Oryctolagus cuniculus: one gene and its partners. The protein of the gene in region 1 binds, or shares a complex with, the protein of each later gene. Links are inferred from orthologs where the notes say so. Each region holds a gene or a part of one and is shown on either strand. Other genes may lie near its edges.

Evidence for each region.
Region 2: LAMTOR1 (region 1) and LAMTOR2 share a complex: the UniProt entries of both Homo sapiens proteins name them as parts of the ragulator complex. The link is inferred for Oryctolagus cuniculus from reciprocal best matches to the Homo sapiens genes LAMTOR1 and LAMTOR2.
Region 3: LAMTOR1 (region 1) and LAMTOR5 share a complex: the UniProt entries of both Homo sapiens proteins name them as parts of the ragulator complex. The link is inferred for Oryctolagus cuniculus from reciprocal best matches to the Homo sapiens genes LAMTOR1 and LAMTOR5.

The regions. Positions count from the first base shown.
Region 1 is NC_091432.1:63,579,165-63,581,962, reverse strand, and holds the end of LAMTOR1 (ragulator complex protein LAMTOR1), read left to right. Parts: intron 1-382; coding exon 383-528; intron 529-771; coding exon 772-849; intron 850-1,147; coding exon 1,148-1,274; intron 1,275-1,580; coding exon 1,581-1,673; 3' UTR 1,674-2,185; downstream 2,186-2,798. UniProt on the Homo sapiens protein: Key component of the Ragulator complex, a multiprotein complex involved in amino acid sensing and activation of mTORC1, a signaling complex promoting cell growth in response to growth factors, energy levels, and amino acids.
Region 2 is NC_091438.1:42,634,890-42,638,998, forward strand, and holds the start of LAMTOR2 (ragulator complex protein LAMTOR2), read right to left. Parts: upstream 2,817-4,109; 5' UTR 1,959-2,816; coding exon 1,891-1,958; intron 1,644-1,890; coding exon 1,481-1,643; intron 280-1,480; coding exon 190-279; intron 1-189. Other genes in the region: UBQLN4 (ubiquilin-4), read left to right, coding at 3,059-3,166. UniProt on the Homo sapiens protein: As part of the Ragulator complex it is involved in amino acid sensing and activation of mTORC1, a signaling complex promoting cell growth in response to growth factors, energy levels, and amino acids.
Region 3 is NC_091438.1:59,944,464-59,948,685, reverse strand, and holds the start of LAMTOR5 (ragulator complex protein LAMTOR5), read right to left. Parts: upstream 2,904-4,222; 5' UTR 2,807-2,903; coding exon 2,772-2,806; exon of another isoform or gene 2,027-2,771; coding exon 1,965-2,026; exon of another isoform or gene 71-1,964; coding exon 1-70. UniProt on the Homo sapiens protein: As part of the Ragulator complex it is involved in amino acid sensing and activation of mTORC1, a signaling complex promoting cell growth in response to growth factors, energy levels, and amino acids.

The DNA of each region.
Region 1 (2,798 bases):
TGGGGCCCAGGGGTCGGTTCTTGAGCTCCCGACGTGCACTGACTTCCTTCTAGATCCGACTGTTACGGGCTGTTACACCCCTCTGTCCAGTATCCTTTCTCCACCAAATCCTGGACTGTTTACTGAAGCCCCAGGGCTGTGGCTGAATTCCTGCTTTCTGCCTCTGTCCACCTTTTCAGTGCCTCTAGGACTGCTTGGTTATTCCCCTGTAGTTAACCCTAGGCCACCACCAGTTTGGCACAGCTCCCCACGCAGGCAGAAACTGAGTCTTGCCTGATAGCCCATAGAGTTGGGCACTCAAGCGAGTGCTTATGCTAGAGCTGGGCTGCAGGGAGAGCCCCAGGCAAGTTGGACTAAGGGTCTCCCCCATGGCCTCTCCTAGGATCGAGAGGAGCGGAAGCTGCTGCTGGACCCTAGCAGCCCCCCCACCAAAGCCCTCAATGGAGCTGAGCCCAACTACCACAGCCTGCCTTCCGCTCGCACAGATGAGCAGGCCCTGCTCTCCTCCATCCTCGCCAAGACAGCCAGGTGAGGGTCACAGGCCCGAGCCTGGGGCAGAGTTCCAACGTCCGTCTGTCCATCCGGACTGAAGGCTGGGATAGAGGGAGTTGGCCTAGGACATGGGGAATGGGACAAGGTCATTGAGGAGCTGCGCCTCAAGGCAGGGTGGGGCCACTGGTGTCGGATAGCCCTGGAGTTGGCACCTGGCACTGAGTCATGTTTGTCCCTCTCAAAAACACCTGTCATGTCTTCTCTGTCTCGTCCCCAAAGCAACATCATCGATGTGTCTGCCGCAGACTCCCAGGGCATGGAGCAACATGAGTACATGGACCGGGCAAGGCAGTACAGGTGAGCACTGGCCAGCTGGCTCCCTCAGGCCTTTGGGGCTCTCTCCACCCCAGCCCTGTCCCAGCTTTGCTCAGGCTCACTGTTTGGGTGCAGCCCAGGAGACTGCACACAAATCCCTTGGGCGCCTCAGATGTCCATGTCAGCTTCTGCCCTGTGATAGTCTTGAGAGTGTGCCTAGAGTGAGTTTGTGATCAGCAGAGACCCTGTCTCCCTGTCATCGGCCGGAGGTTAATAGACTTGCCTGGGCTGGGCTGGGGTGGTCAGACTGTGGCCTAACTGCCTTCCCCGCCTTGCTCAGCACCCGCTTGGCCGTGCTGAGCAGCAGCCTGACCCACTGGAAGAAGCTGCCACCGCTGCCGTCTCTAACCAGCCAGCCGCACCAAGTGCTGGCCAGCGAGCCCATCCCCTTCTCCGACTTGCAGCAGGTGAGCTGCCCCTCAGTCTGCCTCCCTTTCCACAGGAGGGTTCGCCCACCCTGCCCCGGGGTAGGTGGAGCAGTGGTGTTAGGAGCGCAGTGGCCTGTGGGCCCTGGCTCACTCCCACCTCGCTCTTTTTAATGTCCTCTTGTCTTTTCGCCCAATCCTTACTCCATCTCACCTCCTTTGTTCTTTTCCCTGGGCCCTTTCCATCCGTGGCTTTCTGTTTGGCCTCCTGTCGCCCATTGCCCCTTGCTCTTCGCTGATTCCCCTCTCACCTGTCTCTGTCCCTCTCCTCCGTCCCCTGTGTCTCAGGTCTCCAGGATAGCTGCTTACGCCTACAGTGCACTTTCTCAGATCCGTGTGGACGCAAAAGAGGAGCTGGTTGTACAGTTTGGGATCCCGTGAAGAGAAGCATCCTTGGACAGCTCTTCTCCTCTCTCCACCCCGCCTCCCCCAGCCCCCAGCCTCACTGCGGCTTATACAGTACCCTAACCTGCTACTAATCACGGAGATGTGGACGAGGAGGAGGAGAGTGAGGCTGGAAGCCTGAGCAAGTGAGGACGGAGCAAGGGAGGGTGGAACCATTTGGGACTGGCTTCAAAGCCCTAGCTAGGGGTGGAGTGGGGGCCAAAAGGACAGGTCCTCGCAGTCACTGGGAAGGTGGAGGTGCCACTGCGGGGGTGGTCACTGGGGCCCAAAGGGTCCCCCTCCCACCCTTCCTCTTGGCCTCAGAGTCACTCCTGTCCCCCTCTCCCTGACTTGGTGCTCACATGCACCTCTAGGGTTTGTGACCAGGGTCTGGATGAGCTTGAATTTGAATGAATTGAGTTTGTCTTTCTAGCACCCTGGGTTTTTACATGTTTGGTCTTTTTTCTTTTTGTTTTTGTTTGTCACCCTCGATAAAGGAAATGTATTCATCTGCGTTGGTTCCGGCCCCTCTGTCCCACCCATCACCCTACTACTTCTGGCTACCCAAGTCTGTGAGCAGTGGGGTGGGGGGCCCCAAGTCTTAGCTGAACCTTGGCCTGGGCTAACCTCAGATTGGATTCGACTGATCTTAAACACAGTCAATGCTGCACAGGCTTGAATCTGAAGCAGCTGTTGACTGTTGAGGGTCCTGCCTCAGGCTCAGTGGGGTCACCGATAGCCACAGGGTTGGGGGTAAACCAAGCTGTCCTGGGAACCCCTGATCTGGAGCCAGCAGGAAATGTTTTTAAGCAGAGATTCTTTGAATCAAATGAGATCTTAGCAGAAGCCTACCATATAAAAGCTAAGGCTGCTGGAAGTAGAGCATTGTGATTGAAGTGGGGAGGTTCTGAGATCACCACCTGTCTTCTGGACCTGCCACACCTGCCACGGGGCCTCTTGGGTGTCTCCTCTGACCTGGCGCTCTGCGAAGAGTTTGGGGATTCAGTGATCGATGCCAACCCCAGGATAACTAAGCTGAAGGGTACAGAGGGACCCTTCCTAAGGCCTTGTGGGAAGCCCAGTCTCCTGTCCTCGCTGCTGGCCTGACACTGTGGAATGCCC
Region 2 (4,109 bases), on another chromosome or scaffold:
CACTTGACGGATCCCAGTTCTACTCCCAAGGCCGCCCCTCAACCACTCCCACCTCCCTCCTGCCCACATCAGACACTAATTGAGCTGACGGAAGGACTTGAGAGCGGTGCGGTGCTGTGGGTGGGAGTGGACACAGTGACGGAGCACAACAGCGGGCCCACAGCTGCGGCAGGATGGACATGTACACACCTTGGCCTTGAGCATGCCGAAGCCCACGGTCTCCTTGGCATACATACACAGCAGAAGGTTGGCCACGCGGGTGATGGCTACACGGCCCTCCTGGTAGGGGATATGATGGGATGGGATGTTCTGTTTGACACTCACAGGACCCGCCTTCCCCGAGGGTTCCTGACTTAAAATGTATGTCTCGTCTGGGTTGCAGTCACATTTGAAAGTTACTGCTTTAAATAGCACCAGCTCCAGCTAGGCACCCATAGGAGTCACCTGCTGAGCCAAAATGGCAGTGGTGAGGTCAGGGGGGGCAGGCAGCCAAGTTACAGTGGAGACCCTTCCTGGTGCACGCACCCTTGCAATCTGTTCATTTTGGTTCTGCAAACCTTTACTAGGTGTCCGCTGTGTGCTGGGAACCAGGCACCACAGCCCCTGTCTTTCTGGTCCTATCTCCTGCTACCCTCCCGCGACTCAGGCCAAGCTTGCTGATCCTAGTCCAGGCCCCACTCTGTCACAGGACCTTGGTACTTGCTGCTCTGTCAGAGGGCCACATGACTGGACCCCCACCACCCTCTGTCCTTTGATCAAACATCGCCTTTTCAGTGACACTGGCCCTAACACACGCCCTCCATACCCTCTTACTTCCCTGCTTTGTTTTTCTCCATTGCATTTCATACGGTCCAGACCAGATAGTCTGCTTATTTTAAAACACATGTAAGGTTGTAAGCTCCACCAGGAATGGGGTTTTTGTCTGTCCTGTCTGTATGCCCCCTCTAGTCCTAAAAGTCCTGCAGGACCTAAATGGTCGTCACCTAAGAGATTCAGAGAGGAGCGAAGCAGTCCCTGTTCCCAAGAAAGTCACAGTGTAATGGCCACTTCTCCTGTCCGGGTCTGGAGACTCCGCCATGGCCCTGCAAGTCGGTGGCGCTGGGTGGACACGCTCTGCGTCTGAACAGCTCTCTACGGTGTAGACCCATTCTTTCATTTGATTGTCAACAGTCCCGAGGTGGGGGAGGATGGCTCATCACCTCCTGCTTGGAGATGAGGGAAGTGACTTACCCAAGGTTTCACCACTGCTAAGTGCATGGCAGAGACCAGAACCCAAGTCAGACCTGAGGTCCGGGGCTCCTTCCTCACCACCGCTGGGTGCTCCCGGGCCTGCCTATCGCAAACGCTGCTGCAGGACCAACTCTTAGCAATCTCTCGGAGATTCTGTCCCTGCCCCAACAATCATCCAGGATGGGGGCCAGTTCGCCCCCTGGGAATCCCCTTGGTGGATGGAGGAAGTCTGGCTCCCCTCTCTCCGTACCATGCAGTCCATGAGGATGAATTTAAGGTTGTCTTCGTTAAACGCCTGGTTCCCGTTTCGGTCATAAGCTGCCCAGATGTTACTCGCGATGGCCGCGGTGACCCGGGCGTCCGTGTCTCCATAACCCGAGTAGGCCAGCAGCGATCCCTCGTTATTCAGCAGCCTGGCGAGAGACAAGGATGGGATGTCGACATGCTCAAACGCCTGGGTCCCCGCCCCGACGCCCGTATCACTGGCGCTCCTACGAGGCAAGGGGCTGAGCTGAGCGTGTCCCGGAAGGCGTCCCGAGCCCCCAGCACGCTGGCTTCCCTTTCCAGAGGCGCGCTCTCGGTCAGCTGCGGGTCCCCTCGGCCGCCTCCCTTCCCCGCCCCACTCCGCTGCCGCCGCACGGGTCCACGGCCCGCACTCACAGGGTGCTCTGGACGCCTCCGGTGTTGGCTTGGCTTAGCACCTGGGTCAACGCCTTGGGACGCAGCATGCCAGCGGCTCGTCACCCAGCCTTTAAATCCCAGATCCTCCGAGCGGCGTCCCGCTTAGCCGCGGCCTGCGGCTTCCGGCAGTGCAGCGACCCGCTCGGGAACGCCCTGGGAGTTGTAGTTTTCCGACCCCGTGACAGCTGCTCTGGCCCCACCCCGCTCAGCCGCGGAGGGACTGGGAATCGTAGTTCCTGTGGTCTCGCAAGGCACACTGGGAACTGTAGTTCGCCTCCTCAGCTAGACCACGCGGTCGTGGGGGAAAAGAGCGGGAGTGGAAGGGCAATGTGGCAGGGTTGGGAGGACGTTTAACCCCTTGGCGGAGAGAGGTCATCATGGCCGCTTGGCTACTCACGAAGCGATAATAGTAGTAATAAATCCTCGTATTTGTCGGGCACAGCCTGGGTTACTTCTCAGAGCGGTTTTCTACGTTAGGCACTATTCTGTGGGATGAGGCAAGAGATTCTGTTTTCTTGAAACCGAGGCTGGAACGGTGACGCCGGCAACACCCAGTTCTCGCACCGTACAGAACAGGCCATTCAGGCCGTGGGCATCGGGAGCAACAGGGTCACTCCCTGAGTGGAGGCTTTAAGTGGACGTCCCGCGGGGAGAAAATTCAGACTCCCGGTGGAGCGAGGCCCCAGGCCTGGAAAGGAACTTGCACCGCCCAGGGAAGACCAAGTTATCACAGAAAAAGCGGCCACGCAGAAAGTCCTTTGTCCGGGAGCAGGAGTAACCGCGGAGGGGAGGGGGCGGCCCGGGGTCGCAGGGCACGGCGGCGAGGCTCGGGCCGGGCGGGGGTCTCTCGCAGGCCCCCGCCGTGAAGGACACGCCCTCCGCGCCCAGAGGCCCTCGCCACCCAGGCCGCGTCCCGGCGGCCGGACCCCAGGCCGGGCCCTGGGCGGACCCCGCTGCAGTGGCCCCCCCAGTCCGCCCGGGGCGCTGTGGCTGCGGCGGGTCCGGAGGGGGCGGCGGAGCCGCGGCGAGGGGAGGGGAGAGGGGAGTGTTGGAGGCGCCGAGCCGAGCCGGGCCGGCCGGCGGGCGGGGAGGAGGAGGAGGAGGAGGAGCCGGGCGGGCTGGCGGGCGGCCGGGTGGCGGCGGCGGCATGGCGGAGCCGAGCGGGGCCGAGACGAGGCCCCCCATTCGGGTCACCGTCAAGACCCCCAAGGACAAGGAGGAAATTGTGATCTGCGATCGAGCCTCGGTCAAGGAGGTAGTAGGGCTAGCGGCGGGCGGGGGGGGAGCGGAGAGGGAGTGCGGAGGAGGGGGCTACGAAGAAACGGGGCGGGGGGCCTCCGTGACTGCCTGGCGTCCGGGACGGCCCCGGGGAGGAGGGCGGGGGCCGGCGGGGACTCGCGTGGGCAGGAGAGGCGGATATGGGGCGCCCTGCGCGGGCGGGTCTGGGGGAGTGTGGCGCGTGCTGGGGGGAGCGGGCTTTGCACTGGAGCCGGGGCTGGGGGCGTGGTGGAAGAGTGGGTAAGGGGACACCTTGCGCCGGCCCCCGGGAAGCACCCTGGGGCTGAGGGGAGTGTGCGCCCCTGGAACTGGCCGGGGTTCGAGGCGCCGAGGCGCAGTGGCGGCCCCGGCTAGGTGCTGGACCCGTAGAGCGGGTAGGGGGCAGGCGGAGAGCGCCCGCGTCTCCTGTGTGGCCCGGAGAACGCCCAGAGTCCGCCGAACGCAGGGCGCGGGGTGGGGTGGAGGATGTTCTCTGCCCTAGATCCTTCCTGCTCTTTAAGCCCGAGGTGGTCACACTTGGTTTTCAGCTCTTCTGAGATTTGCACAGTGTGCAGTAGGTGCTCCATAAGGTTTTGTTGAATGAGGGACTCTTGCCTGCGTTCGCCACCCCCCTGTAGTTGCTCCAGAATTTCACATAGGCGGGGCTTCAGGATGGGCCATCTGGTTGGAAGAGAGGGATTTGGAAGCTCCCTTTGCTTATTAGCAAGTGCGCCTTTTCTACTCGGAGTGTGCGTTGGGTTGGGTTGGGCTTTGCAGGGACTGAGAATTGAACTCTCCCAGCAGTATAAAATGACTGAATTCCAGAAGAGGGGTCCCTGCAAAGCTGACTTTGAAAACAGCTGGAATTGAGAGGCAAGAGTGTCTGGTCAAGACCTGAGTTCCAATCTGCCCAGGATGTTACCTAAGCTCCCTGCTCTTCC
Region 3 (4,222 bases), on another chromosome or scaffold:
GTTAGCTTTGCTGCTTGCTGCGCCAGAACAGAGATCACTCCAGCATGCTCATCTGACAGCGTCCCACGGCCTGAGAGAGAGAGAGAACGATGGTATCAGGGCACCTGGTGAGCCACAAGTAAGTTTGGAGCAACAGTATCTCACTGAATGATTCACAAAGAGGAGGTTCAGGTCCTGGTCCTTTAAGTTTGGTGCTTACATGAAGTGACTGTTCCCTGACGCTCAGTGGTTACATCAGTGAGAAAGCCGGGCAACAAAAATCAATAAATCAGTAAGCTATAACTGACACACCTATCACCATCTGTAAACAGCTTCAACATACCAGGACGCTGTAATTCAGGTCACTCTGAAAACCATAAATTCACTGGATAGGAACCTTGCGAAAACAAAAAGCTTAGAGGTGAGATTGACAAAAAGCAGTCAATACGCGCAAGAGGCTTGCTGAAGCTAATTCATTCCTCATGGGAAAGCGGATTTCCTCTCCTGAGGAGTCACGCAGTCTCAGATCTCCTCGATGGCACGTGTGAACATTCTGTGAGCAGTTATTTCTGCTAGCATAGCTACTTGGCTGTTTTCAAATGCCCACACGATTGTCTTCTACTCCTGACTGCTTTAGCTTGTATATGATAACGGAACCTTGGGTCCCAAGCACAAAATGTAACTGCTGAGTTTACTGTGTCCTGTATGTGTGTATGAAGGCAGGCCAAGCAGAACCGTGCCTGTGGCTGGTGGGCAGAGGGATTTCCTGACAGCAACTCACCAGCACGGCGCCATCTTTTGCACCTTGAAGCTTTCTTGAAGCAACTCTAATAGAGTTTCACACTTCATTTCAGTATTTCCATTAGTGAGTCTGGCAAAAGCGTCAAAACATTTGCCTTTTTTCTCCAAGCAACTGAGTTATAGATTACCGCTTTGTTACCCTTGCAGCAAAAATTCAGAGCTTTAAAAATTCTTGCACTAAGACGTGTCCTGGGTTTACTAGTTCTGACATTAACTAAATGCTCTAGTTATCTATCATTTTCCTTATCTATCATTTCCTCATCTGTGATTGCTGTCATTCTCTGAGCATGTTCCATCTGGGTGTGCACTGTCTTAAGCATATTATATAATCTCACGGCATTGTGATTGAAGAGGCTTTGGACCCTGACACCATTTCTAGCTCAGCCAATTACCGCCCTATGACCCTAGGCAAGCTACTTTACCTCTGTGCCTCACGTTGGTTGTTAGGAGGAGTGCGTGAGTTACCATTAGAATGGTACCTGGAACTCAAGGAAGAGCACGCAATTCTGTAAGCACTAGTCTCAGTAAACAAGAGCCCAGTGAAGCTATGCCATGGAGGCCGGTGCCATGACACATCTCTGATGCCGGCATCCCATATTGGCAGCGGTTTGTGTCCTTCTGCTCCATTTCTGATGCAGCTCCCTGCTAAAGGTCTGGGGAAAGCAGTAGATCGCCCAAGTGTTTGGGTCCCTGCCACTCTTGTGGGAGACCTGGATGATTCTGGCTTTGGCCTGGCCCAGCCCTGGACATTATAGCCATCTGGGGAATGACTCAGAGGATGCAAGATCTCTCTGTCTCTCCCTCTCTCTAATTCTTTCAAATAAATAAATAAATATTAAAAAAAAAAAAAAGTTCCTGAAAGGTTCATTTAGGCCCAAGTTCACACAACTAGCAAATGAAAGAACGGGGTGGGGGTGGGGGGAGTGTTTGAACTCAGCTGTGCCAAACTCAGAATCTCCTATTTTCACTGTTGGTGTACTTGGACTAGAACACTGCACCCACCCATCATGCAGGGATACTGTGGAAAGTGCAGCAAGGCAGGTGGAGCCTCGCATATGGCTCAGCACATGCTCACAGCTCTCATGGGCGAGTCCTGTCTAGGCCCAGTTTGAAATGACTCAAATACTATTTGGTCAACACCAGGTGTGGCGCAGTCCAGCAAAGGGTTGGCAGGAGATACTTACAGCCCAGATTGAGGCCTTGTGAGTCTGTGCACAGGACTCCAACAATGGACGGGTTCTTCATCCTAATTCCAGAAACACAGGAGAGGTGAGGCAGAGGGCTTGAGAAAGTGGATGCAAACGGTTATGACGCCCGTGGGCCTGCCATGCTATCAGGCATTGCCTAAGTGCTTTAAATGGGTTTCTCGACCTCTTTCCTACCACACTCCCCAACCCCGAGCAAAATTAAAGTAGTAATTGAAGCCAGCTGCAGAGAAGAATGAGTATCTGCTGGGTTTGGGAAGCCTAGGCGCACGCAACAGTTCGGATGCGGGGTTTTTCGCCGTTCTAACCGCACGCTTTACGTAACAGCTCAGGTAAGACAACTGGACAAACTAAGAGGCGTTGCCTCCCGGAAGGGAAGTGGGATGACGAGGGAGTGGCTGGGAGGGTGGTGTCTGCACGTACACCTTAGACTTTTGCAGCTTTGAGTTTACACAGACGTTAACACATTTAAGGAACAGGTATTTCCTTAAACACCAAATGACAGATCGCACACACGATCTGTGTGTGTGTGTACCCGGTGCGGCCGACGGCACACCTGCGACACCCTCCTGAACGACCTAATCCTGCGGACGGCGCCCCGAGAGGAAGGCTGCGGGCCCCAGCGGGATATTAACTTCGGGCCACCGGCCCCGTCCCCTCGGCCAGCCTTCTGGGGTGGCACGGCGTCCCCGAGCCGCCCTCCGGCGCTCGCGGGTCTCGCCCGCTGTCCCGCACGTAACCCGCGCTGCGACCTCAGAACTGGCCGGAGAGGCCCGCACTGCTCACGTGTCCTCCAGGTGCTGCTCCAAGGTCGCCTCCATCCCGCCGGCCGGCAGCGCACCCCCGCCCGGGCCCCCGGAGCCGTCGCGTTCCGCTTCACTGCGGGCCTCCGTCACGTGACGCGAGCCTTCCGCTGCCCGCGACGGCGCCGCCGATGGGACAAAATTCGCCGCGGCGCCACGTCCGAGTTCTCTCCCGGAAGACGGCGCCGAGCCGTGCTCCCGTCTCCCTGAGGGTTCGGGCTGCGCGGGGTGAGAGTCTGCAGCCAGGCCCCAGCGCCTCAGTTCCTGGCCTGCAGTCTGGCCCAATGGTTCTTGTCCGTTGGTCTCAGTGCAAACGACTCCGAGACCCAAGGACAGGATGGTGTTTGACAGTAACCCTGCGGGCCCGGCGGGATGGAGCAAGTGGCCAGAGGAGCCACGGGCTCCTTGAAGGGCGTACACCCGGGACAAAGGACGAGGTGGCCCGCGGGTAAAACCCGGAGCGGGGCGCTGGCAAAACGTGTTGGAATTTTAACTAAGACACTGCTTTTCCTGTGATCAGGGCTCAGGAAGGTTTGGGGCCAGAAGGTGCCGTGTGATACCTAACGCATAAGGAGGACTGGGGTGACACTCCCTGAAAACAGCTTTACAAGCTGTCAAAGCCAAGATTAAAAATAAAGGAAGGAAACCAGCCACACTTCCCACACTTCCACTGCCAGAAGTGACTGCAGTCCCTTTCAGGTGGATGTATTTGCAGAGGTATGCTCTAAATGGCTTTTGTTCTTTTCTAAGCAAAAAAAAAAAATATTGGACATGATTCCTTTGCTGAGCCTTTGCACAGGTTTTAGCATAAATGTCTGTTCGTGTTAATAAATACTTAGTTTTGAGGCCGGTGCTGTGGCACAGTGGGTTAAAGGCTTGGCCTGAAGCACCAGCATCCTATATGGGCGCCGGTTTGAGCCCCAGCTGCTCCACTTCCGATCCAGCTCTCTGCTATGGCCTGGGAAAGCAGTAGAAGATGGCCCAAGTCCTTGGGCCCCTGCACTGGCGAGAGAGACCCGGAGGAAGCTGCTGACTTTGGATCGGCACAGCTCCGCCATTGCAGTCATCTGGGGAGTGAACCAGCGGATGGAAGACCTCTCTCCCTGTCTCTACCTCTCTCTGCAGCTCTTTCAAATAAATAAAATATTTAAAAATAAATACTTAGTTTTTATTAATTGCAAAATATTCCATGTCTCAGCCGTATGTGCTTTAACTGACTTGACCAACTCCATGTTAATGTACAGTTTGGATACTAGCTTGCTGGGTGAATATCCTCTTGGCTAAATCTCTGTGCAGTTTAAAATTTTCCTGGTAAGCTACTAGAAGTGGAATTACCGGGCCAAAGGATATGGTTGTTTTTAAGACTTGATGGACGTGAATTGCTGGCACAGAGGTAGTGCCAGCGTGCACTCAGATGGTAGCACTTTGGTGAAA